Macaca mulatta: one gene and its partners. The protein of the gene in region 1 interacts with the protein of each later gene in a pairwise test. Links are inferred from orthologs where the notes say so. Each region holds a gene or a part of one and is shown in the gene's direction. Other genes may lie near its edges.

Region 1 (3,243 bases):
TTTTGAGCAGGGGCGTGAAGGGATCTAACTGTTTTTTGTTTGTTTGTTTGTTTGTTTTTGTTTTTTTTTTTAGAGATGGAGTCTCGCTTGGTAACCAAGGCTGGAGGAGTGCGCTGGCGCTATCTCGGCTCACTGCCACCTCCGCCTCCCGGGTTCAAGCGATTCTCCTGCCTTAGCCTCCTGAGTAGCTGGAACTACAGGCACCTGCCACCACGCCCCGCTAATATTTTGTATTTTTAGTAGAGACAGGGTTTCACCCTGTTAGCCAGGATGATCTCGATCTCCTGACTCGTGATCCGCCCTCCTTGGCCACCCAAAGTGCTAGGATTACAGGAGTGAGCCACCGCGCCCGATTCCTGTGGCTACTCTATGGAGAATATACTATAGGAAGAAAAGAGTGAAAGCTAAGTGATTAGTTGCAGCAGTCTGGGTGAGAAAGGCTGGGGATCAGGGTGGCAGTGGTAGAAATGACAAGTCATGACTGAATTGGCAATATATTTGAAAGCAGAGCCAACAATTCCTGTCGGCTCTAGGGATCCGTTTAAAGTAGAAAAACAAAATTATTTAAAAACACAAACATCTTAACAGTTCATTTTTAAGTACAGAATAAAACCCAGTGGCCAAAGGCACTAATAGCAGGACAAGAAATAGAGAATCAAAGATATGTGGGATGCCTGCAATTGATTATTGGATGCTGATTTTGCAAAACTTCTTTATATCCTGCTACTTAGGTTTGTTTTTTTTTGTTTGTTTGTTTTAAGGGAGTATGCCATATTATTCCCCTACTAAAGAAGTCACTGTTTAAATACTGCCTTTTTCATGAAAGGCAGGAACCCCTGAAGGTCTTCATGATCCTAAAAGGAAGTGTGAGTCCCACAGTGCAGCCAGCAGTGTCAATACTTCTCTGAGTGAGATTTAAACAAGAAAGAAAATGTGTTAATAAAACATCACGCCAAGAGAATCTAGTGGCCACAGACCCACGAAGGAACAACTGAGTTGTGAGAGTTGCCTAGGTAGAAGGGTGGCTAATCCTTTCAGTTTGAACAAATTTGCCTTCTCTGAGACCAAACTCAGCGCTCGCCAGGTCCTCTGCTAACGCAGGCCCCACAACCAGGAGCTAGGGGAGCCTACCCCAGCCTTTAACTGCCCGCCTAGAGACCTACCACAAGCCGGTGGTTCAGCGACCCAATGCATCCTTTTCCTGGCCACGCCCTCTTTGTCTAAACCCTTCCCATCCCGGCCACGCCCCCACGCAGCCGCGGCCGCCAGTCTGGCCACGCCCCTCCCGCGCCGCGCCGGCGCACCATCCGTCCGAATGGCCTCGTGGGCGGAGCTTGCGTAGCCTCCCGGACCCCGGCGCGCACCGCCCCCCGCCCCCAGCCCCTGGCCATCGAGCGTCTCCGTGGACACGCACTTCCTGCGAGGCCTCCGTGCGCACCTTGGCCGAGCCGAACCGAGCCGAGCCCTGTCCTTCCAGGCTGTTCGCAATGGTGGATGAGCTGGTGCTGCTGCTGCACGCGCTCCTGATGCGGCACCGCGCCCTGACCATCGAGAACAGCCAGCTCATGGAACAGCTGCGGCTGCTGGTGTGCGAGAGGGCCAGCCTGCTGCGCCAGGTACGTCCGCCGAGCTGCCCGGTGCCCTTCCCCGAAACGTTTAATGGCGAGAGCTCCCGGCTCCCTGAGTTTATCGTGCAGACAGCGTCTTACATGCTCGTGAACGAGAACCGATTCTGCAACGACGCCATGAAGGTGGCATTCCTAATCAGTCTCCTCACCGGGGAAGCCGAGGAGTGGGTGGTGCCCTACATCGAGATGGATAGCCCCATCCTAGGTGATTACCGAGCCTTCCTCGATGAGATGAAACAGTGCTTTGGCTGGGATGACGACGAAGACGACGACGACGAGGACGAAGAGGATAATTACTAGGCCCTCGGGCCTCGGGGGGAGGGCCCTGCACGCCGTCACCCCCTCCCCGCAGCCCTCACCCCGCCAGGAGCCAGTGCTCTCCCCCTTGCCCTCCGGTCCCCTTCCCTACCCGCGCCCGTCTGCTCTTTCTTCATTTCTCCGTAGTGCTTGTCTTTGTTCCAGGAATAGTGCTCCAGTTACCTGCTGCTGGGGTTGGGGCTGGAGCCTCACTCACTCGGAAGTGCTTGGAAGTGTCATCTACCCTGGCCATCCCGGGGATCCCTCCCCTGCTAATCTGAACTGTGTCCTGAACCCCAGCTATTGGCCAGGCCCCTGTTACAAACTGCGCAGACCACCCATAGCCCTGCTGCTGCCACCTGCCCTGCTGCCAGGCTTACATCTGCCCAGAGAACTATGCTGCCACTTCACATCCACTCACCACATCCCACCTACAGACTACCGCCTTTCGAGATCAGGACCAACCTGGAAAATGCCAGAGTTGGCTCTGCCTCTTCGGACATTGATTTGGACAGCTCACCAACCCCTGAAGAGGCCAGTCATTCAGCCTGGTTAGTTTTCTACCTACTCCGAGTGTCCTCCCCTGCCATACCAGATTGCTGCAGGGGCGCGGTGTGCCTGACAGCCAAATTGTTGATATTTCTTTTTTCCTATGCACTGGTTTTACACAGCTGTCATTTTTCTTTCAAAATTGCAGCAGTCCCACAGATGTATGCATTTGGACAAATAGTACTAAAAACAAAACAAACAAGCACTCAGCCCAGCTCCTCAATACTACCTGGAAAAAGCATTGGCATTATTTTCAATAAATATCAAGCACTAAAAAACGAAATGATTGTCTTTTAATAGTTAAGTGCTATCACTGACCTCTAGAACTGTCACTGTGACTACCGTTATTCCCATGGAAATCAGGGAATACAACCAATCCTAGGAATCCCTGCTGTCAACTCCAGGCTGCTGGGGACAGCTACCTCAGGGCTTTGTCAGGGTTCTGATGCTTCCTTCACCAACGCATTTCTTAAAGCCCTGGCAAAGGGTGTGTTCTCTGGGTCCTCCAGGGTGGCATGGGTAAGGGTTGGCTGAGCAGATGGCAAAGAGGGCAGTATTAATAATTAGACCGTAACAACAGGCATAAACCAGGACATATATATGTATTGCTCCTAATTCTCTGAGCTTTTGGATTCCTTAATATTGTGCCAGGGAAGTTCTGCCCCTTAATCCTTATTGCCTATATGCAGCTGTTGAGTTCAGGCTCCAGAGAGCCAACATAGTACATTGTCACTTTCAAACTCCAAATAGCCAACATGTCACTTACAGG
Region 2 (3,500 bases), on another chromosome or scaffold:
CTCAGTTTACTTAAGCAAACTGGTTACTAGCTGTAAAATAGTGTACAATTAAACTTGGTAAGAAATACTAGAAAAAAATGCCGGGCGCAGTGGCTCACGCCTGTAATCCCAGCACTTTGGGAGGCCGAGGCGGGCGGATCACAAGGTCAGGAGATCGAGACCACGGTGAAACCCCGTCTCTACTAAAAATACAAAAAATTAGCCGGGCGCGGTTGTGGGCGCCTGTAGTCCCAGCTACTCGGGAGGCTGAGGCAGGAGAATGGCGTGAATCCGGGAGGCGGAGCTTGCAGTGAGCCGAGATCGCGCCACTGCACTCCAGCCTGGGCGACAGAGCGAGACTCCGTCTCAAAAAAAAAAAAAAAAAAGAAATACTAGAAAAAAATTAGAAATACCAAGCAGGATTTTAGAGATCTTAACAAAACATAACAGGACATATATTTTGTATTTCTTTACCAAGACTGGCATAATTTTGTATTTATTAAATAAAGCCTCTGTGGAATTGATTTTTAATATGTGTTTTTATCAGGACTCTCAAATTGCAGACATACTATCAACATCTGGGACTGTAGTTACTATTACAATCATGCCTGCTTTTATCTTTGAACATATTATTAAGCGGTAAGTAAACAATTCCTCAACTTAATGCATATGGTCGTGTGACTTAATGTAAGCACTATAGTTTAATTCTCAGCCCTTTGGGTCTTTTACCTAAGGAATGAATACTGGTGTTTATCTAGAAATTTGAAGTAAGTTATTTAAGTCAGCGGGGTTGGTAAGGATGAGCTCTTACAACTTCCCAAGTATGGAATAAAATCCACATATACTTTCCTCAGTTTTGATATTGCCTAGTAGAAGAATGCAAGGAAAAGTGGGCATGCTTTTAGCTTTCAATTTGCAGTACAATTGACTGCAGTTGTACTGCCTGCCACTCCTCTGCTCAGTATAAATATAGTTGTAGTGGTTCGTAATGGAGAATTCTTGCTGGTGGAATGCTAGGAGTAAGTTTCCCTTCTCTCCAGAATCTCAGGAAGCAGATAGACATGTGTGGTGTGTTGGTGCTATCTGTGCTCAGGAACTGAGGATTAGAAAGCCAAGTGATCAGAAATGAAAAGAGGCAACAAGGTTACTTCTATACAGCTTTTCGTATCCTAGCATCTACCATAGCTGTTTTTGTCAAGCCAGCTTGGAATCCTTCTTTCAGAACCTCTATCATGCATGTGAAAATGAGATTTAAAAGATTCATAAACATAACCATTGTAATGAAATTTGTATGTTGGCTTCTGGATAGAATGCACCTCCCTACGCTTCGAGGGGGTAAAAAGGAGTTATTGTCATGACTAATTGTTCTAAGGTTCTCTTTTTTTAAATCACTGATGGATCCCTCTACCCCAACTCATCACAGCCGTGTCATTTTCTGTTTTTTAAAATTCACCAGGTTTGGCCGGGCGTGGTGGCTCAAGCCTGTAATCCCAGCACTTTGGGAGGCCGAGACGGGTGGATCACGAGGGTCAGGAGATCGAGACCATCATGGCTAACACAGTGAAACCCCGTCTCTACTAAAAAATACAAAAAACTAGCTGAGCGAGGTGGCGGGCGCCTGTAGTCCCAGCTACTCGGGAGGCTGAGGCAGGAGAATGGCGTGAACCCAGGAGGCGGAGCTTGCAGTGAGCTGAGATCCAGCCACTGCACTCCAGCCTGGGCAAGAGAGCCAGACTCCGCCTCAAAAAAAAAAAAAAAAAAAAATCACCAGGTTTAATGTACAAGAATTCATTTGTATCCTAACTTCTCTAGCCAAATACAGATAGCCTTTCCCACTGAGGGTCTGTCAACAACTAGATTACCAGAGATGCTTCTGGACTCATTTAAAAGATCTTTCCCTTCTCTCCATTCACATTTGATGCTAACAGGTGCTAAATTGGAATTGGGAATTTTCTTGGATTAACATAGCATTTTCGGGGGGGGGGGACAGAATCTCAGTATATAATAAAAGCACCTCTTTTGTAGGATGGCACCAAGCATCATGAAAAGCCTAATGGACCACACCATTCCTGAGGTTTAAAATTCACGGCACCATGGAAATGCAGCTGAACGTCTCCAGTTTCCTTCTTTGGCAACTTCTGTATTATGCACATGAAGCTTTCCCGGAGCCAGCAAGCATATGCTGCATGAGGACTTTTCTATCTTACATTATGGCTGGGAATCTTACTATTTTCATCTGATACCTTGTTCAGATTTCAAAATAGTTGTAGCCTTATCCTGGTTTTACAGATGTGAAACTTTCAAGAGATTTACTGACTTTCCTAGAACAGTTTCTCTACTGGAAACCTGATGCTTTTATAAGCCATTGTGATTAGGATGACTGATACAGGCTTAGCTTTGTGTGAAAACCAGTCACCTTTCTCCTAGGTAATGAGTAGTGCTGTTCATATTACTTTAGTTCTATAGCATATTTGCATTTTTAACATGCTACCATAGTACATTTAGAATGATTGCCTTTGATTTTTTAAAAAAATTCTGTGTGTGTATAAAATGCCAATTAAGAACACTGGTTTCATTCCATGTAAGCATTAAACAGTGTATGTAGGTTGCAAGAGATTGTGATGATTCTTAAATTTTAACTACCTTCATTTAATATGCTTAAACTGTCGCCTTAACTATGTTAAGCATCTAGACTAAAAGCCAAAATATAATTATTGCTGCCTTTCTAAAACCCAAAATGTAGATCTCTATTAACCTGAAATGTACACTAGCCCAGAACAGTTTAATGGTACTTACTGAGCTATAGCATAGCTGCTTAGTTGTTTTTGAGATTTTTTAGTCAATGCATAATGGAAACTTCTTTCTTCTAAAAGTTGCCAGCACCACTTTGTGAGAAGTGAATCACTATATATTTAATGTAAAAGTTATTACACTAAACAGGATAAACTTTTGACTCCTCTTTTGTTCATTTGTGGATTAAGTGGTATAATACTTAATTTTGGCATTTGACTCTTAAGATTATGTAACCTAGCTACTTTGGGATGGTCTTAGAATATTTTTCTGGTAACTTGTTCCATTTCCTGACTCCTTGCAAACAAAATGATAGTGACATTTTATCCTGAGTTTTTTCTTCTTTTTGGTTTATGGCTATTCTAATTAAATATGTATACATAAAGTTACATTTTAGTCTGTCTGTTACTGCATCATTTGCTTTCACCAAACTTATGCATGATCTAGAAGATAGGCAGGTGAAATTCACTTTCAGCTATGGGAGACATCATTTCCCAGAACAAGCTGACATTCAGGGGCCCTAAGAACAGCTCACAGTGCTGAGACTGAGTGTCAGGAAAATTGCTTCCAGCTGGGAACCCCAGATTACCAGGGCCAAGAGAGCTGGTTCACCCCTGCCATGCAGCAGGAACTCATTGAGGCTACTGACTGTCCCTAGCAATACCTGAGACCAGATAATACTTAATAACACTTGAAACTGACTTTGAAAATTCTATTAGTATGGTCTGACT
Region 3 (4,267 bases), on another chromosome or scaffold:
TATAAACTTTTTAAACTTTCTTTAAAAGTTTTAAACTTTTTAAATTAAAGTTTTTTAAACTTTTTTAAACTTTTACATATTATGTTTTAAACTTTTTATGTATTTAAATTTTCCGAATATGGGACTTGAGATTATTAATAAAATTTAAAATAATTAAATCATTCTAAATGTATTTAACTGTATTTTCAGGAAGTACACAGGCAGACACTGTGTCAGGATTTTTTATGTGTGTGATTTATTGTCATTGCACTCATAATTAGAATGCTTAAACACACACCCTACCCCCACCTCCCCACACACATCCACTCACCCGCAGGAATGCAGCCCTGTCCCACCTTAACATTACAAACCTGCATTTGGGGCTATGCTGACAAATCTTGGTTAAAAACTATGGATTGCAAACTGGTGACCTGCAAGACAAATAAGGCCTTGGATTTGACCAACACAGTGTTTTTAAAAAAGTAAACATCTTTAGGTGGGAAATGCATGCCCATGTTGCTATAGTTGCAGCCCCTCCCTCTTTTAATCCCACTCTCTTCACACAGATAATCACCTTTCTATTTTCTAATTAATAACTTTGTTAATATCAGCTAACCATTATTGAATACTCACTACATAATTTACCTGCACTATTTAATTAAGTCCTCACAATTAGTTTGAGGTATACTATTATTGGGCTTCTTTGAATGCCCCATTTTATAGCTTTTCCTAGGAGGCATCAATTAGTATTTCTTGAATGACTGCATAAATGACAAGGGAAACTGACATACACATATTGCTGCTTAGTGCCATTTCTGTCCCACAGAGAATTTTCTTTGGGGATTTAAATTATGGTCAGAAAAGTAATTTAGGCAGTCCTGTAGTTTTTGTGGTGGTGGTTGTTTGATTTGATAACCAGTGACCTTCTCTGTGGCAGTGAAACAGGGTTGTGACAGTTGGCCACAGTACCCTCCTCCCGCCCACAGGGCTGATGAATACATGCATTGTGATTTTAATACTCCCCTCTTTTTTAATTAGCTTCTATTAGTTGTAGTATTAACTATTTTTGGCCTAGCTTCTTTAGTAACAAAAGTTATTATTTTGGCTTTAATTTGCATAATTGATTTGGTATCTATGTTTGCCTTGAAGTTTCTTCCTCTGTTTCAATACAAAACTACTTGTTTAGAGGGTTTCAACATTCTTTTATAGTTTATAAAGGTAAGCATGCTGTTGATGATGTATTGTTGAATCATAATGAACAGGTGGCCTTTGAGGAAGACAAGGTCATTTGAACATCAAAAAGTAGTTTCCTTTTTGTTATCTATGGTGCTGATTGATACTTTTCTCTTGAAAGTTTGTTTTCTTTGTTCGCTAATTATTAAAGTAAGTGCATGGAGCAAGGGATAATTTAAATACTAAATCCTTTGTGTCTGCATTTTGCTGCTTTGAATCTATAAGTTGGATTTATACATTTATCTTTATTTACAGAAATAAGCGGATTTTGAAAACAAAAAAAAGAAGGAGTGGAAGAGGGGGCCAGGATCCAGGCCTCCATCCCCACAGAAGTGAAGCTACAGCTGGGAGGTCTCCTCCCACCCCAACCGTCACCCTGGGTCCCGACTGCCCACCTCCTCCCCCTCCCCCTCCCCCCAACAACAACAACAACAACAACTCCAAGCACACCGGCCATAAGAGCGCGTGTGTCCCCAACATGACCGAACGAAGAAGGGATGAGCTCTCTGAAGAGATCAACAACCTAAGAGAGAAGGTCATTAAGCAGTCCGAGGAGAACAGCAACCTGCAGAACCAGGTGCAGAAGCTCACAGAGGAGAACACCACCCTTCGAGAGCAAGTGGAACCCACCCCTGAGGATGATGATGATGACATCGAGCTCCGCGGTGCTGCAGCAGCTGCTGCCCCACCCCCTCCAATAGAGGAAGAGTGCCCAGAAGACCTTCCAGAGAAGTTCGATGGCAACCCAGACATGCTGGCTCCTTTCATGGCCCAGTGCCAGATCTTCATGGAAAAGAGCACCAGAGATTTCTCAGTTGATCGTGTCCGTGTCTGTTTCGTGACAAGCATGATGACCGGCCGTGCTGCCCGCTGGGCCTCAGCAAAGCTGGAGCGCTCCCACTACCTGATGCACAACTACCCAGCTTTCATGATGGAAATGAAGCATGTCTTTGAAGACCCTCAGAGGCGAGAGGCTGCCAAACGCAAGATCAGACGCCTGCGCCAAGGCATGGGGTCTGTCATCGACTATTCCAATGCTTTCCAGATGATTGCCCAGGACCTGGATTGGAACGAGCCTGCGCTGATTGACCAGTACCACGAGGGCCTCAGCGACCACATTCAGGAGGAGCTCTCCCACCTCGAGGTCGCCAAGTCGCTGTCTGCTCTGATTGGGCAGTGCATTCACATTGAGAGAAGGCTGGCCAGGGCTGCTGCAGCTCGCAAGCCACGCTCACCACCCCGGGCGCTGGTGTTGCCTCACGTTGCAAGCCACCACCAGGTAGATCCAACCGAGCCGGTGGGAGGTGCCCGCATGCGCCTGACCCAGGAGGAAAAAGAAAGACGCAGAAAGCTGAACCTGTGCCTCTACTGTGGAACAGGAGGTCACTACGCTGACAACTGTCCTGCCAAGGCCTCGAAGTCTTCGCCGGCGGGAAACTCCCCGGCCCCGCTGTAGAGGGACCTTCAGCGACCGGGCCAGAAATAATAAGGTCCCCACAAGATGACGCCTCATCTCCACACTTGCAAGTGATGCTCCAGATTCATCTTCCGGGCAGACACACCCTGTTCGTCCGAGCCATGATCGATTCTGGTGCTTCTGGCAACTTCATTGATCACGAATACGTTGCTCAAAATGGAATTCCTCTAAGAATCAAGGACTGGCCAATACTTGTGGAAGCAATTGATGGGCGCCCCATAGCATCGGGCCCAGTTGTCCACGAAACTCACGACCTGATAGTTGACCTGGGAGATCACCGTGAAGTGCTGTCATTTGATGTGACTCAGTCTCCATTCTTCCCTGTCGTCCTAGGGGTTCGCTGGCTGAGCACACATGATCCCAACATCACATGGAGCACTCGATCTATTGTCTTTGATTCTGAATACTGCCGCTACCACTGCCGGATGTATTCTCCAATACCACCATCGCTCCCACCACCAGCACAACAACCGCCACTCTATTATCCAGTAGATGGATACAGAGTTTACCAACCAGTGAGATATTACTATGTCCAGAATGTGTACACTCCAGTAGATGAGCACGTCTACCCAGATCACCGCCTGGTTGACCCTCACATAGAAATGATACCTGGAGCACACAGTATTCCCAGCGGACATGTGTACTCACTGTCTGAACCTGAAATGGCAGCTCTTCGAGATTTTGTGGCAAGAAATGTGAAAGATGGGCTGATTACTCCAACGATCGCACCTAATGGAGCCCAAGTTCTCCAGGTGAAGAGGGGGTGGAAACTGCAAGTTTCTTACGATTGCCGAGCTCCAAACAATTTTACTATCCAGAATCAGTATCCTCGCCTATCTATTCCAAATTTAGAAGACCAAGCGCACCTGGCAACGTACACTGAATTCGTACCTCAAATACCTGGATACCAAACGTACCCCACGTATGCCGCATACCCGACCTACCCAGTAGGATTCGCCTGGTACCCAGTGGGAAGAGACGGACAAGGAAGATCACTATATGTACCTGTTATGATCACTTGGAATCCACACTGGTACCGCCAGCCTCCGGTACCACAGTACCCGCCGCCACAGCCGCCGCCTCCACCACCGCCGCCGCCGCCGCCTCCATCTTACAGTACCCTGTAAATACTTGTCGTGTCCTTCAGGATCTCTGCCCTCAAAATTTATTCCTGTTCAGCTTCTCAATCAGTGACTGTGTGCTAAGTTTTAGGCTACTGTATCTTCAGGCCACCTGAGGCACATCCTCTCTGAAACGGCTGTAGAAGGTCAGGGCCACCCTGGACTGGCACACATCCTAAAGCACCAAAAGACCTTCAACATTTTCTGAGAGCAACAGAGTATTTGCCAATAAATTAGCTCTCATTTTTCCACCTTGACTGCCAATCTAACTAAAATAATTAGTAAGTTTACTTTCCAGCCAGTCCTGGAAGTCTGGGTTTTACCTGCCAAAACCTCTGTCACCATCTAAATTATAGGCTGCCAAATTTGTTCTTTAACATTTACAGAGAAGCTGATACAAATGCAGGAAATGCTGATTTCTTTATGGAGGGGGAGACAAAGAGGAGGAGGAGGACAT
Region 4 (3,500 bases), on another chromosome or scaffold:
GTTTCGCCATGTTGGCCTGGCTGGTCTCGAACTCGTAGCCTCAACTGATCTGCCCATCTTGGCTTTCCAAAGTGCTGGGATTACAAGCATGAGCCACTGTGCCCAGCTATATATATTTTTGTGTTTGACACAGGTTCTCACTGTATCACTCAGGCTGAAGTGAGTGCCTTGCTGTGGTCACGGCTCGCCACAGCCTTAACCTCCTGGACTCTAGTGATTCTCCCACCTCAGCCTCCCATGTAGCTTGGGACCACAGGCATACACCACCATGCCCAGCTAATTTTTTTATTTTTAGTAAAGACAAGGTCTAACTTTGTTGCCCAGGCTGGTCTCGAACTCCTGGGTTTAAGCAGTCCTCCTGCCTCAACCTTCCAAAATGCTGGGATTACAGGCATGAGCCACCGCACCTGGCCCCCTCATTAATTTTCTAAGGTTAAACTATTCTTGTAGTCTTGAGCTAAATTCTAATAAGTTGTGTTGGCTTAGGGGTTTTTTGTTTCGGGTTTTTTTTTTTTGGTAGTTTTTATATCGCTGGGATAAATTTGCTCTTATTTAATATTTTTGTATTTGTGTTTGTAAGTGAAATCCACCTAAAGTTTTCCTTTGAACTGTCCAATTTGGTTATCAAGGTTATACTCATAAAATAAGTTGGTTAGTTTTCACTGTCTCTCTTTGTTCACTAGAATTGTTTATATTTGTAGGCTGGGTGCTATGACTCACGCCTGTAATCCCAGCACTTTGGGAGGCCGAGGTGGGCGGATCTTGAGGTCAGGAGATGGAAACCATCCTGGCTAACACGATGAAACTCCATCTCTACTAAAAATACAAATAATTAGCTGGGCATGGTGTAGCGCATGCCTTTAGTCCGAGCTACTCAGGAGGCTGAGGCAGGAGAATTACTTGAACCCAGGAGGCGGAGGTTGCAGTGAGCCGAGATCATACCACTGCACTCCAGCCTAGGCGACAGAGTGAGACTCCGTCTCAAAAAAAAAAAAAAAAAAGAATTGTATTTATAACAGATTACCTACTCTTGCAGGTTTGATAACACATAAGGTAAAGGAAAAGAAGGTAGAAATAAGTAAGATTAGAATATTGAGTCATGTGGTAATATGTTATAAAGGCTGCCGTGGAAATCCCAGAGGGAACTACAAGAATGCCTGAGCAGCATTTTAGTTTTATGTTCCTGCAGAAATCATCCTTACTATGTGGTGGGCACTGTTACAAATAATTTGTTTAAGGGTATAGTTGAGGTGGGATGCCATGAATTTGTGATGGATGCAGTCTGCCTTTTTGCGGGGGACTTTTTTCTACTGTTTCACTGCCTGCCTTCCTCCACTTCATTGTACTCAAGGTAAGCCTCATTATCATCAGTGTTGGCTTTCACAAGGAGGCAGTCTCGTGACTTGGCCTTTGTAGGAAAACACTATTAGATGAATAGATGGTTGGGTAGTGGCTCTTTTCTTCTCCTGCTTAGACTCTTGTCTACTATGAATAAAGGGTTCTATTTGCAAAGGCCATAATGGGATGAAGCACATTGAGAAACAGGCTACTGAAACATAGTTATTTTTCTCACCCAGGTGAGATTTCAATGGAAAAAGTGAAGGTAAAGCGTTATGTGTCCGGAAAGAGGCCAGACTATGCCCCTATGGAGTCCTCAGATGAGGAAGATGAAGAATTTCAGTTCATTAAGAAAGCCAAAGAACAAGAAGCAGAGCCTGAGGAACAGGAGGAGGATTCATCTAGTGACCCCCGGCTACGGCGTTTACAGAACCGTATTAGTGAAGATGTGGAAGAGAGGTAATGTCTGTGATTGTGTTTTACTTGAACATGAACCTCTACAGCTTAATAATAATAGCTAATACTTGAATAGTACTGCCAAGTAGCTGACATTTGCTAATTGTTGTAATCCATACAATAGCTTTATGAAATAGGTGCTATTATCCCCATTTCACAAAAGAGGAAACTAAGAGCACAAAGGGGCTAAGAAAGTTACATGACCAAAGTTACAAAGTGGCAGCTTCAGAAAACAGCAGGTTACTTCTGGCCTAAAGGACCTACTCAACTCCTTACGGGAATAGAAAACACAGACCATTCGTTGGCTGTTGAGGGGAGTCTTTTTAGCACAAAGATGTTTTATAAACTTTGGTAAATTGATTTTATACATCTGCTTATTCTAAATGCTAATAAGGGGAAATGACACTGAAGCAGGAGAAAAGACCTCATAAAGGTCTCATTGTAGAAAGTCTCCCAGTGAGGGATTTTGTATGTTATATACTGATTGAGACATTACCTTAATAGAGCAGACCAGGGGTCCTGAACTTTCACCGTTCATAATTGTCCCAGGGGTTTTTTCACAGAGCTCCTGGGCCAAAACAGTTCTGTTTATTTTAGTTAGTAAGTAGTTAGAGCCAAGTAACTTAATAAGTATTTATGTCCTAATAACTTTGCCACTTGAAAATTACAGTGCCCATGGCCGGGCGCAGTGGCTCACACCTGTAATCGTAGCACTTTGGGAGGCCGAGGCAGGTGGATCACGAGGTCAGGAGTTCAAGACCAGCCTGGCCAACTTGGTGAAACCCCATCTCAACTAAAAATACAAAAAAATTAGCCAGGCATGGCAGTGGGCACCTGTAATCCCAGCTACTTTGGGAGACTGAGGCAGAGAATTGCTTGAACTTGGCAGGCGGAGGTTGCAGTGAGCCGAGATCATGCCACTGCACTCCAGCCTGAGTGACAGAGTGAGACTCCGTCTCAAAAAAGAAAAAAGAAAAAATAAATAAAATTACAGTGCCCATGGGGAAAAAAACACTTTTATTCATTCTCACATAACCACAGTTACTAGTGGAATTTGTGTGCCTATTGGACACTGACAGCCTTGCAGACCTTGGAATCAGCACTGTCACTTTTTCATGTCTTGTTTTATATTGATATTCACACTGTACTTTTTACCACAGCAGCCACCAAAACCCAATTTCACGAAGATACGATATTCTCAAAAGGAATGTAATATGACTTAATGTTGAAACTGAATTACCTTGAGCTATTGAAAATATCCCAATGCAGGCCACGCTCGGTGGCTCACGCCTGTAATCCCAGCACTTTGGGAGGCCAAGGCAGGCGATCACCTGAGGTCAGGAGTTCAAGACTAGCCTGGCCAACATGACGAAACCCCCTCTCTAGTAAAAATACAAAAATTAGCCGGGTGTGGTGGTGCACGCCTGTAATCCCAGCTACTCAAGAGGCTGAGGCAGGGAGAATCGCTTGAACCTGGGAGGGGGAGGTTGTGGTGAGCCGAGATCACGCCATTGCTCTCCAGCCTGGGTAACAGAGTGAGATTCTGTCTCAAAAAAAAATCCCAATGCATCCCTATGAGTTTGCTGGCTTGCTGTGGTGCCTTAGGATGCCTCAACATACGTTTAGTATTTCAGGCCAAACTTGGCTATTTGCTCTGATATCCTAGTCTAGTTCCTTTAATCTGCACCTCAGTTTCCCCCACCTCA
Region 5 (3,500 bases), on another chromosome or scaffold:
AGATGATCATGGGCCCACAGTAAAGTGTGGACATGTGTGAACACAGGTATTGCTTGTTTATTCAATGGAGGTGTGGCCGTGGATCCCTAAGTTGTCTTTGGAGGTGGTGAATACAGGCCGTCTCATCCTTCTCATGCACTGAATGTGCCCTACTGTACCCTGAGGAGGGGGCAGGGAGAGGCAAATGCCTGATCCAGCCGCTTGTCTCCACAGGCGACCACCCCTACGAGTGTGAGTTCTGTGGCAGCTGCTTCCGGGATGAGAGCACACTCAAGAGCCACAAACGCATCCACACGGGTGAGAAACCCTATGAGTGCAATGGCTGTGGCAAGAAGTTCAGCCTCAAGCATCAGCTGGAGACGCACTATAGGGTGCACACAGGTACTGAAGGCCAGGGAGGGGTCTGAGCTGGCTCTGGGACCTGGGTGGAGGTGGGAAGCAGATGGTCTCCTGGAGAAGCCTAAGTGAGGATGATCCCAGGCTGAATCAAAGAGTAGAAGAGGTTCTATTAAGGGCTGGTATGATGACCTGAGGGCCACCACACCCCAGTCAAGGTGGCCTGAGGGCCACCAGTCAAGGCCAAGGCAGACATTACTAATCAATCCCAGCACACTTTCCAATGAGCCCCCACCAGCTCTCCAGGCAGTTATACCAATAGTTCAGAGGTGACATGCAAAATGATGTCTGTATATGAGTCCTAAATTAGGGGTAAGTTGGTCCAGTTAGCTGGAAGCGAAGGTTAGGTCCAGTTAACATGAAGCGAATTTCATGTTACTCAAGGGTTACAGTAAGAATTAGGATGCATTGAATCAGGTTATGATGGAAGTTGGGAAATTGTAAAGTTAGATTGTGTTTGGTTCTGAGATTAGAAGAGCAGATATATTTAATAATCCCTATATGCATATGATGTTTTACCATTTCAGAGTGCCTTCACATTTTTTTTTTTTAGACAGAGTTTCGCTCTTGTTGCCCAGGCTGGAGTGCAGTGGCATGATCTCAGCTCACTGCAATCTCTGCCTCCTGGGTTCAAGCAGTTCTCCTGCCTCAGCCTCCCGATTACCTGGGATTACAGGCGTGTGCCACCATGCCCGGCTAATTTTGTATTTTTTTTTTAGCAGAGACGGGTTTGCCATGTTGGTCAATCTGGTCTCGAACTCCTGACCTCAAGTGATTCACCCGTCTCGGCCTCCAAAGTGCTGGGATTACAGGCATGAGCCACCATGCCCGGCCACATTATTGTTTGTATTGGAAAAAGAAATGTGGGCCACTGCTTTTCCTGAGGTCAGAAGACAAAAGAAGTGAAGGGTCTTCCACAGTGTCCGAGGTTGGGGGCAGTGGAGTATTGGAGCTTGCTTGTGAAAGCTAATTTTTCACATTTCTTCACAACTTCAAGTTCAGCGACATCACCTTAGTTGCTTAAAATTGGCCCTGGTAGGAGTATTCACATCATAGCAATCAGCAGATGCTACAAACCAGGGCTTTTTAGAAAGCCAGTTGTTAAACATTTACCACCAGCACATTGCTGGTTGTGGGGAAGGCTGATTTACAGAAGGGTAAGAGGTGGTGGCACATGGAAAACAAAGAAACCCCTCTGATCGGGGGGGACAGCTGTCCTGTCCAGAGGAAGGGGGAGAGGTGGCTTCAGGCAGGTCCTGCTGGCTTAGAGGAGAGTACATTGCCTTTGGAGGGGAAGGGTGGACAGAAGGAGCAGTAAGCAGAGCTACGTGTTGTCAGAGCTCAGTTTTCGTGCCCCAGTTTGAGCCCCCAAGGACAGGGTTGGGTGTCCATTGCTGACACCTATAGTGACCCAGAGGATTTCCCAGAGCCCTGGGGTTTCCTTAGCCCCTTGTCGGGGATGTGACCTGGCAGGTGGATCATTAACTGTATTGGCAGTGACTATTGTAAATAGCTGGTCGATGGTTAGATCACTTTGGCTGTTCATTACTTCATTATTTGCTGGGGCCTGTGCACGGAGGAGTATTGATAGCGAGATGGCTGGCCAGTTAATTACTGTATTGAAACAAGGTTCCCTCACATCCTCTGCTCAGCTCTAGGGGACTCTATGGAAGGAAAGTTGGGGTATAGAAGGCTAGGGTGTGGCTGTGTACTCCCAGGTTCTTTATCCTTCCCATCCCACCCCACCCCCAATTCTAGCCTCAGGAGGGAGGCAGGGTCCAGGGCAAAGTCTTAGCAGTTTTAGCAGGATAGGCCGGGTGCGGTGGCTCATGCCTATAATCCCAGGACTTTGGGAGGCCGAGGCAGGCAGATCACTTGAAGTCAGGAGTTCAAGCCCAGCCTAGCCAACATGGTGAAACCCTGTCTCTACTAAAAATACAAAAATTAGCCAGGCATGGTGGCAGCACCTGTGATCCCAGCTACTTGGGAGGCTGAGGCAGGAGAATCACTTGAACCCAGGAGGCAGAGGTTGCAGTGAGCTGAGATCGTACCACTGCATTCCAGCCTGGGCAACACAGTGAGACACCATCTCAAAAAAAAAAAGGCTTTAGCTGGATAGAGGTTCCCAGGTGCGGCATATTTGAAGGACTGGGTTCCCTCAGTTTTCCCCCACCCCTGCTCCCCACCATCTGTAGCCCTGAAAGGTCTCGATCCACCTGCTCCCTGGATGGAACTGCGGCTCGAAGAGCCATTCCTGAGGACCGTGGGGCCTTTCTCTTTCTAGACACTCATTTTCTTAATTAGAAAGGGAAAAGACTGTGGCCTTAGGAGAGTTAAGAATAGTAAGACAAGGAACTGGGCAATCCAGTAGTCAACTAGCTACATGTAGCTATTTAAATTAGTTACAATGAAATAAAATCAGAAAACTGTAGAGCTCCAGTCGCACCAGCCTCGTTCATAGCCATGTGTGACTGGTGGCTGCCGTCTTGGGTGGTGCCTTCATTGTCCCAGAAAGTTCTGTTGGAACAAGCCCAGCAGGAGGAACCCAGCTTCCCTGGCACACCTGAGGGTGACATGGTGCCCTCACCGCCCTCTGTCCTCACTTTCTCCTGCCCTGTCCCTCTGCCCTCAGGTGAGAAGCCCTTTGAGTGTAAGCTGTGCCACCAGCGCTCCCGGGACTACTCGGCCATGATCAAGCACCTGAGAACGCACAACGGCGCCTCGCCCTACCAGTGCACCATCTGCACAGAGTACTGCCCCAGCCTCTCCTCCATGCAGAAGCACATGAAGGGCCACAAGCCCGAGGAGATCCCGCCCGACTGGAGGATAGAGAAGACGTACCTCTACCTGTGCTACGTGTGAAGGGAGGCCCGCGGCGGTGGAGCCGAGCGGGGAGCCAGGAAAGAAGAGTTGGATCGAGATGAAGGAAGGACTATGAAAAATAAAAAAGGAAAAGAAAAAAAAAAAAGAGAAGGAAAAGGAAACCTGATAGCTTTTTGGCCTTGGATTCTCTCTGGGCTCCAGATGACCTGGATGCCAAGCCACTGCCCCTCCTCTGGGGGCCTCCACCCTCCTCTCCCGGCTGGAGGTTTGCCTGATTTTCT
Region 6 (4,114 bases), on another chromosome or scaffold:
AACAGATAGGCAGAGAGACATACTGGCAACAGAGGGACTGAGTTGGGAGTAGAGAGAGAAGGAGCCAGACAAAGACCCAAAGAGAGAGGGAGAAAATACCATGGATGCATAGAAGGAAGTGCAAAGAAAGGAGAAAAGAGAGGCAGAGGTATAATCACAGCAAGGTGCGGAGACGTGGAGACCCTATAAGAGAGGGAAATGGAGAGCCACAGAGCGGGAACTGCGGGCACTAAGACATGGAGAGAACTAGAAAGACAGAGACATGAACATGGACACAGAGACCCAGAGCCAAAAAGAGACAGAAATGGGGTCACAGGTGGACAGAAATGCACAGAGAAACTGTGAGCCTCCACGGACACAAACGCTGAGAGGGGCAGACATGCAGAGACAGCCACAGAAATGCAGAGACAAAACCACCTAGAGACACATGCCAAGAAACACACTGAGGGACCCAGAAAGAGACAGATGCAGAGAGAGCCCAAGACAGACCCCAGCGAGAGGCCCCAGGAAACACAGAGACGGACCACGAGAGGCAGAGGTACTGAGAGGTACTGAGAGGCGAGGCGGGGAGGGGAGGAGGCCTGCTCTCCAGGGCCGGCTTGAACCCAGAACTCAAGGTCATGGCTTGGCTAGGAAGCGCGAGGGGGACACCAAAAAGATCAGTGTTAGATGGAGGTGGGGAGGGAGGGGAGGTTTCACCCTAATTGACACCCCCTCTCCCTCCCCCTCCCCACACCTGCTTCCCGGCTTTAGTGCCTGTTGTCACCAGGATGGAATCCTGGTGGCAGACAAAAGGGTGGGGGTGGGGAGGGGGAGACAAAAAGATGGACAGAGACAGAGGGGGAGACGAAGAAGTGGAGACAGACACACAGAGATACACAGATGGAGAGCCACAGACACAACAGAAACGGGGGTCCAGAAAGAGACCACGGTAGAAAGAGGGAACGGAGAGAAGAAAACAGAAAACATTCCTTATAGCCCATTTGTCATTAGTAGGTCCTCCAAGGACCTACTGTGGGCCGGGCGTGGGGACGTCAAAGCACAGGGAGCTATAAGGGAGGTAGCTGCAGCACCATGAGACCTGGGGGTGGGGTGGGGGTGGGAGCGGGGCTCCTGGGCCGTGCAGATGGGGTTAGCATGGGGTTGGGGAGGGGCCTGCGGAGGCTTTTGGACTCTGAGTGTGGAGCCAGGGGCAGCGGGGCTGTCTCTGAGCTCCCAGACTTGTGTTTGAGCAATGGAATTCTCTCCCCCTCCCTCTCCCTTCGGGGCGGGGCCAAGCCTCCCAGGGCCAGCTATAAACTCCCGGTAGCTTCAGTGCCCTCAGCAAGGCTCAGCCACGAGCTTCCCAGCATCTCAGACACAGCCTAGGTAAGGGGCTCTGCGGGGCCCTGTGGTCTCCAAAGACTGTGTCCTTGCGGGAGGGGGCAGGAGGTGGGTGGGGAAGATGTGGGGTATGGAGAAATGGTGCAGAGGTAGGTGGGGCAGACAACTGGAAGTCTGGGAACTTGAGAGGCTCAGACTTCAGGGGGACTCAGGATAGAGGGGAAAATACTGGGATTTGTGGGTCACACAGATCCGAACCCGGGGTTGCCAGGACTTGGGTGTCCCAGAACAAAACCTCCTAGGATCTTGGGGTTCTGGGAATCTGGGGGAAATCTCAGCAGTCAGGGATATCTGGACTTGGAGGTCAAACAGTCTGGGTGTCAGGATTTGGGGACTCAGACTCTGAGGGTATCAGGAATTGGGGGTGGGTCTCACAATCTGGGGTTTTAGGAGTGGAGGCCTCGGAATCTGAGGTATTATGATAGAAAGCACGAGAACTTGGACTGTCATTATCTGGGTATCATGAATTGGGCCTCCGAGGTTAGGTATCAAGATTTTGGGGGTCTCATATTCTTGAGGTTTCAGAATTTAGGTCCCAAGACCTGGGAGTGGTCTTAAGATGTCCCGGCCCATATCTGGACTATCAAGAACAGCTGTGAGGACTCGCTGGTCTCAGAAACATGGGCATCACAGATTGGGGTCTCAGAATCTGTGGGTATTGGGATTTGGGGCTAGGCACCCTGTGGCCTAGGGAATCTCAAAGACTTTGAGGTCCAAGAATATAGGGGTCCGGGTGAGGTCTGTGGACAGAAGGTGCCCTTTATGCTCCTGCCCCCTGCATGATGTATGGGAAGGTGAAAGGGGAGACAGGTGGGGAGGAAGCCAGCCAGCGGGGAGGGGTGAGTGGGAGAGGGGATGAGGGTGACTAATTCTCCCAGAAGCCCCCCTTCCTCAAATCCCTTCTTAGGAAATGTCCTCTGTCTCACCATCTATGACATCCCCCCGAAATAGCTCCTGGGGGTGGGGCAGCTATTGTCTTCAGGCCACTGTCCCTTCTCAAATGCCTCCTCCTAATCCCAGCTGGATCAGGTTCCCATGGACTTGTCATAAGACAAAAGAGGACAGCTGTGAGGAGGGGGCAGGGTCTGCAGCCTCCTGGCTGTGCCAGGACCACACCTACCAAGGTCTGTCCTCATGCGTGCTTTAGGACAGCCAGCCCCCTCCCTCGGACCCAGGAGTCCAGACCTGAGCCCTCCTCCCTCAGACGCAGGAGTCCAGGTCCCCAGCCCCCTCCTCCCTCAGACCCAGGAGTCCAGACCCCCAGCCCCTCCTCCCTCAGACTCAGGAGTGCAGACTCCCAGCCCCTCCTCCCTCAGACCCAGGAGTCGAGACCCCCAGCCCCTCCTCCCTCAGACCCAGGAGTCCAGACTCCCAGTCCCTCCTCCCTCAGACCCAGGAGTCCAGGCCCCCAGCCCCTCCTCCCTCAGACCCAGGAGTCCAGACTCCCAGTCCCTCCTACCTCAGACCCAGGAGTCCAGACTCCCAGTCCCTCCTCCCTCAGACCCAGGAGTCCAGACTCCCAGTCTCTCCTCCCTTAGATCCAGGAATCCAGGCCCCAGCTCCTCCTCCCTCAGACCCAGGATTCCAGACCCCAGCCCCTGCTCCCTCAGACCCAGGAGTCCAGACTCCCAGCCCCTCCTCCCTCAGACCCAGGAGTCCAGGCCCCCAGCCCCTCCTCCCTCAGACCCAGGAGTCCAGACTCCCAGCCCCTCCTCCCTCAGACCCAGGAGTCCAGACTCCCAGTCCCTCCTCCCTCAGACCCAGGAGTCCAGACTCCCAGTCCCTCCTCCCTCAGACCCAGGAGTCCAGACTCCCAGTCCCTCCTCCCTTAGATCCAGGAATCCAGGCCCCAGCTCCTCCTCCCTCAGACCCAGGATTCCAGACCCCAGCCCCTGCTCCCTCAGACCCAGGAGTCCAGCCCCTGGCCTCTCCTCCCTCAGACTCAGGAGTCCAGACCCCCAGCCCTTCCTCCTTCAGGCCCAGGTGTCCAGCCCCTGGCCCCTCCTCCCTCAGAACCAGGAGTCCAAGCCTCCATCCCCTCCTCCCTCAGACCCAGGTGTCCAGGCCCCAGCTCCTCCTGCCTCAGACCCACAAGTCCAGACCCAGAAGTCCAGACCCAGGAGTCCAGGCCCCAGCTCCTCCTCCCTCAGACCCGGGAGTCCAGACTCAGGAATCCAGGCCCCCAGCTCCTCCTCCCTCAGACCCCGGAGTCCAGACCCAGGAATCCAGGCCCCCAGCTCCTCCTCCCTCAGACCCAGGAGTCCAGACCCAGGAGTCCAGGCTGCAGCTCCTCCTCTCTGACCCAAGAGTCCAGCCCCCAGCCCTCCTCCCTCAGAACCAGGAGTCCAGGCCCCTGGCCCCTCCTTCCTCAGATCCAGGAGTCCAAGCCTCCATCCCCTCCTCCCTCAGACCCAGGTGTCCAGGCCTCAGCTCCTCCTGCCTCAGACCCATGAGTCCAGACCCAGGAGTCCAGACCCAGGAGTCCAGGCCCCCAGCTCCTCCTCCCTCAGACCCAGGAGTCCAGACCCAGGAGTCCAGGCCCCCAGCTCCTCCTCCCTCAAACCCCGGAGTCCAGACCCAGGAATCCAGGCCCCCAGCTCCTCCTCCCTCAGATCCAGGAGTCCAGACCCAGGAGTCCAGGCCCCCAGCTTCTCCTCCCTCAGACCCAGGAGTCCAGACCCAGGAGTCCAGGCCCCCAGCTTCTCCTCTCTGACCCAGGAGTCCAGCCCCC
Region 7 (4,127 bases), on another chromosome or scaffold:
ACTACAGGCGCACGCCACCACGCCCGGCTAATTTTTGTATTTTTGGTAGAGACGGGGTTTAACCGTGTTGGCCAGGATGGTCCGATCTCCTGACCTCGTGATCCACCCGCCTCTGCCCTCCAAAGTGTTGGGATTACAGGCGTGAGCCACCGCGCCCGGCCTTTTTTTTTTTTTTTTTTTTTTGAAACAGAATCTCTGTCGCCCAGGCAGGCTGGAGTGCAATGGCGCGACCACGGCTCACTACAACCTCGATCTCCCGGGCTTAAGAGATCCTCCCACTTCAGCTTCCCGAGTAACTGGGACCACAGGCGCATGCCAACATGCCCAGCCTTTTTTATTTTAGTATTATTATTATTATTGTAGCGACGAGGTCCCACTGTATTAAAATAATATAGTGATCTCGAACTCCTGGGCTCAAGCGATCCTCCGCCCTCGGCCTCCGATAGTGCTGGGATTACAGGCTACCGCACCCAGTCTCTTTTTTTACAAAGAATGTAAATAGCCGGTGGATGTTAGATTGGCAGCTGTTTGCAAAGATGTCAGACTATTTCATTACGGAAAGATGCTCTCAAAAGACAAAATAGGTAAGTCGAAAGAACGTGTCCATTTTTTCTCAGTGGCCTAATCAGGTATCATGCTTGGTTTTGAGGACACAGAAAGACAGCGCCCTCATGGAGTTCAAAGTCTGGTGGAGGAAACCAATCATAATAATAATGAGGGGTTAAAGACAACAGAGCCTTGAAAGATAACATCTCCAGGGAATAAGGAAGAGCATTCCAAGGTATCTTGCCAAATGGCAAAAACCGCGGTTACTTTTGCACCAACCTTAATACAAATAAAAGCATGTACACAAACAAGATACTCGAGGAAGAATACGGCTGACACACAGAAACGGATCGTTATCTTGGGGCTTTCCTGCAGCCTCGTTTCTTTCAGTCACGTAACACCCCAAAATCTGTGGACGGTGAATGAGAGCTAGTATCACCCGGAGTCACGGCTGTTGCCTCGTAAGACTTTAGATGCAGCCCGCCACCGGGAGAAACTGGAGGGAATCCGCAATACACAGGAACCAAGAAGGGCTACGTGACAGGGGGTCCCCCGCAGCTCTCAGCCGCCGGCACTCCCAGCCCTGGGTTTCCCGCCAATCTCAGTTACTAGATCTTCCCAGGCTCCGCCCGCCGCCGAGCGGTCGGAGAGTTTTAAGGAAGGGGAAGTGTTGCAAGCCTATCGATATCTCTGGAATAGACTGCGCTACCCTGCGCCGCCGCCATCAGACTCCCGCAGACTTCTCTGTAGATCGCTGAGCGATACTTTCGGCAGCACCTCCTTGATTCTCAGTTTTGCTGGAGGCCGCAACCAGGCCCGCGCCGCCAACATGGTACGTTGAATCCCGACCTCTGGAAGGTTTAGGGCAGAGCTCCGGTGACTCGGGGATGACGAGCCACCTCTCCTGTCATCCTTAGCGCCGCCCGGGGCCACGAGGTATGGGAGCCTCGGCAGACGGCCGGGCTCCGGCAGTGATTCAGCATCTCCGGCCTGGCCGGGTTAGGGGCTGTCGGTAGCCAGTGCGGCCTTTCCACCGCTTTCGCTTCCCGGGGAGCCTCCGACACTTCCTCCTCTGTCAGCTAGATGAGTTCGCCCCTCAGGTTCCTTCAGTGGAGTAGATTCTGAGCGGTCCAGAATAGCCCCTAGTGCTGTGTATGGGAGAGGAGAAGACAGAGACTTGGAGGCCTACCTGTACCACCAGTGCGGACTTGACCCCCAGGTTTGTGTTCCTGGACCGCGTCCGTTTTCCTGGTGGGTCCGTCTGATTTATCTCTCCCCTAGACTTCGGTTAGAAGAGGCCCTTTTCAATAATTTTGTCCAGTCACCTATTTACAGATGAGTAAGCCGAGGCTGAGAAGGGAAGTGATGGAATCTGGGTTACAACATAGGGTTCTGGGTTTCCAGTGCTGTGCTCGCACTCAATCTCACTCCCGTGATTAGTCTCCCCAGCACTGCTAGACTTATTATAATAGTCATAATAGCCGTAATGGTTCTATCGCTGCAGCTGTTTGTGTCCACCTCTAACTTTCTGAGGACATTTTTGTTCATTCAATATGAATATACAGACAGAGCATTTGTACAAGCATAACTACAGTGAACGTTCAAAAGTCATACATGTCCCTAATCATAAAAGCAGAAAGGGACGTTTAGATAAAGAACTGTGGGAGTATGTGTTAGGGGGATTTGGGAAGAAAAGCTAATCATAAAAACAGAAAGGGACGTTTAGATAAAGAACTGTGGGAGTATGTGTTAGGGGGATTTGGGAAGAAAAGGAGAAGACTTCCAGAAATCGACATTTAAGCTAACTTAAAGAAGAGAAAGGCTTTTAACCATTTATTAGGTCCCAATAAAAGGGAGCAGCATAAGCAAAAATAGGCAAGAAAGTTGATTGTGAACTTTAGTAATTGAGCCTAAAGGGATTGCTATGAAGGGTTTTAGAATAAGAGGTTGGAAAAATAGGACCCATTTAGATCTGCTTCTCCCTCTCCCACCAGTTTATGGTAAATGTAGAATTGGCTTACGTCTGAGTACAGTAGTAATCTTCCAGTAAGATTGCATGAACAGAGTGCCTTAACATTGAATGGAAACACAAGCATATTTCTTAATGAATGTTAGAGTTGGGATTTGAAATGTTCTTCTATTAACAGGTCTTTTTTTCTTTTACTTTTAGTTTCGAAATCAGTACGACAATGATGTCACTGTTTGGAGCCCGCAGGTAAAATAATGTTTTTTAAACTATTTCTGTGAAATGGCTTTTTGTGGCTGCAATATATTTAGAAGCTTGTGAGAGCATAGGCTTGGGGAAAATGGAATATAATATTTTAGTCGTTCTTGGAAGTTGCATTTATAATTAAAATAGGTCTCCTAATGGACCTAGAGGACATTATGTTAAGTGAAATAAGCCAGAAACAGAAAGAAAAATATTTCATGCTCTCACTTATATGTGGAATGTTTTGTTTAAAAGAGCAAATATATAGAGAGAGAGAATAAAACAGTGGTTACCAGGGTAGGGAATAGCAGTGGGGAGGAAAAAAGAGGAGATACAAAGTATCAAATATGTAGGTTGAGCAAGTGGAAGGATCTAAGGTACAACATGAAGACTACAGCTAATAATGCAGGTAGTGTTTTGTATTCAGGATTTTTGCTAAGTGAGTAGTTGATAGCTCTTGCCACAGCAGAGGAAAATGGGTAAGTATGTGAGACAATGGATGTGTTCATTCTGCGATAGTGACCCTACTATATATGTGTATCTTACAACATCATGTTGCATACCTTAAGTATATACAACAAAATTTATTTTAAAAGAAGCTTTTGGCTAGGCGCAGTGGCTTATGCCTGTAATCCCAGCACTTTGGGAGGCCGAGGAAGGTAGATTGCTTGAGTCTTGGAGTTCAAGACCACCCTGAACAACATGAAACCTGGTCTCCACAAGAAATACAAAAATAAGCTGGGCGTGGTGGTGCCTGCCTATAGTCCCAGCTACTGGGGACGGTGATTTGAGAGGATTGCCTGAGCCCAGGAGGCAGAGGTTGTACTGAGCTGAAGATTGTGCCACTGCACTCCAGCCTGGGTGACAGAGTGAAAACCTGTCTCAAAAAAAAAGTTTCTTGATTTAAAAAAAAAATCAGTTGAGATTTAACTATGCCCACCTGACATTTGAAAACTCTAATTTTTAAGTTATAAAAGGCCTTCTAAGATGTGGTTTTGTTTTTTTTTTTCTTTAGGGCAGGATTCATCAAATTGAATATGCAATGGAAGCTGTTAAACAAGGTTCAGCCACAGTTGGTCTGAAATCAAAAACTCATGCAGTGTTGGTTGCATTGAAAGTAAGTAAAGTAATAAATATGTCTTCCTCTGTAAAAAACTATTAATGTAAATTTCACCATAGACAGTAAGGTTGTAAACTTATTTTTACATTTTTTTTTTTAACATCTTATAATGTCTCCATTTAGAGGGCACAATCAGAGCTTGCAGCTCATCAGAAAAAAATTCTCCATGTTGACAACCATATTGGTATCTCAATTGCGGGGCTTACTGCTGATGCTAGACTGTTATGGTAAGTATAATCATGAAAAATAAAC

Evidence for each region.
Region 2: the proteins of LDOC1 (region 1) and SDCBP interact in binary tests that used the Homo sapiens proteins (3 or more experiments, as listed by UniProt). The two-hybrid records come from large-scale screens. The link is inferred for Macaca mulatta from reciprocal best matches to the Homo sapiens genes LDOC1 and SDCBP.
Region 3: the proteins of LDOC1 (region 1) and PEG10 interact in binary tests that used the Homo sapiens proteins (3 or more experiments, as listed by UniProt). The two-hybrid records come from large-scale screens. The link is inferred for Macaca mulatta from reciprocal best matches to the Homo sapiens genes LDOC1 and PEG10.
Region 4: the proteins of LDOC1 (region 1) and MFAP1 interact in binary tests that used the Homo sapiens proteins (3 or more experiments, as listed by UniProt). The two-hybrid records come from large-scale screens. The link is inferred for Macaca mulatta from reciprocal best matches to the Homo sapiens genes LDOC1 and MFAP1.
Region 5: the proteins of LDOC1 (region 1) and ZBTB16 interact in binary tests that used the Homo sapiens proteins (3 or more experiments, as listed by UniProt). The two-hybrid records come from large-scale screens. The link is inferred for Macaca mulatta from reciprocal best matches to the Homo sapiens genes LDOC1 and ZBTB16.
Region 6: the proteins of LDOC1 (region 1) and TNNT1 interact in binary tests that used the Homo sapiens proteins (3 or more experiments, as listed by UniProt). The two-hybrid records come from large-scale screens. The link is inferred for Macaca mulatta from reciprocal best matches to the Homo sapiens genes LDOC1 and TNNT1.
Region 7: the proteins of LDOC1 (region 1) and PSMA1 interact in binary tests that used the Homo sapiens proteins (3 or more experiments, as listed by UniProt). The two-hybrid records come from large-scale screens. The link is inferred for Macaca mulatta from reciprocal best matches to the Homo sapiens genes LDOC1 and PSMA1.

The regions. Positions count from the first base shown.
Region 1 is NC_133426.1:147,689,452-147,692,694, forward strand, and holds LDOC1 (protein LDOC1), read left to right. Parts: upstream 1-1,393; 5' UTR 1,394-1,487; coding exon 1,488-1,928; 3' UTR 1,929-2,743; downstream 2,744-3,243. UniProt on the Homo sapiens protein: May have an important role in the development and/or progression of some cancers.
Region 2 is NC_133413.1:69,261,866-69,265,365, forward strand, and holds the end of SDCBP (syntenin-1), read left to right. Parts: intron 1-526; coding exon 527-618; intron 619-2,004; coding exon 2,005-2,059; 3' UTR 2,060-3,041; downstream 3,042-3,500. UniProt on the Homo sapiens protein: Multifunctional adapter protein involved in diverse array of functions including trafficking of transmembrane proteins, neuro and immunomodulation, exosome biogenesis, and tumorigenesis.
Region 3 is NC_133408.1:124,716,020-124,720,286, reverse strand, and holds PEG10 (retrotransposon-derived protein PEG10), read left to right. Parts: upstream 1-1,467; 5' UTR 1,468-1,588; coding exon 1,589-2,668; coding exon of another isoform or gene 2,669-3,816; 3' UTR 3,817-4,247; downstream 4,248-4,267.
Region 4 is NC_133412.1:21,198,518-21,202,017, reverse strand, and holds part of MFAP1 (microfibrillar-associated protein 1), read left to right. Parts: intron 1-1,577; coding exon 1,578-1,797; intron 1,798-3,500. UniProt on the Homo sapiens protein: Involved in pre-mRNA splicing as a component of the spliceosome.
Region 5 is NC_133419.1:114,997,010-115,000,509, forward strand, and holds the end of ZBTB16 (zinc finger and BTB domain-containing protein 16), read left to right. Parts: intron 1-213; coding exon 214-381; intron 382-3,028; coding exon 3,029-3,258; 3' UTR 3,259-3,327; downstream 3,328-3,500. UniProt on the Homo sapiens protein: Acts as a transcriptional repressor. Transcriptional repression may be mediated through recruitment of histone deacetylases to target promoters. May play a role in myeloid maturation and in the development and/or maintenance of other differentiated tissues.
Region 6 is NC_133424.1:67,462,197-67,466,310, reverse strand, and holds the start of TNNT1 (troponin T, slow skeletal muscle), read left to right. Parts: upstream 1-1,314; 5' UTR 1,315-2,517; coding exon 2,518-2,601; intron 2,602-4,114. UniProt on the Homo sapiens protein: Troponin T is the tropomyosin-binding subunit of troponin, the thin filament regulatory complex which confers calcium-sensitivity to striated muscle actomyosin ATPase activity.
Region 7 is NC_133419.1:50,928,364-50,932,490, forward strand, and holds the start of PSMA1 (proteasome subunit alpha type-1), read left to right. Parts: upstream 1-1,327; 5' UTR 1,328-1,375; coding exon 1,376-1,378; exon of another isoform or gene 1,379-1,765; intron 1,766-2,716; coding exon 2,717-2,761; intron 2,762-3,770; coding exon 3,771-3,872; intron 3,873-3,998; coding exon 3,999-4,102; intron 4,103-4,127. UniProt on the Homo sapiens protein: Component of the 20S core proteasome complex involved in the proteolytic degradation of most intracellular proteins. This complex plays numerous essential roles within the cell by associating with different regulatory particles.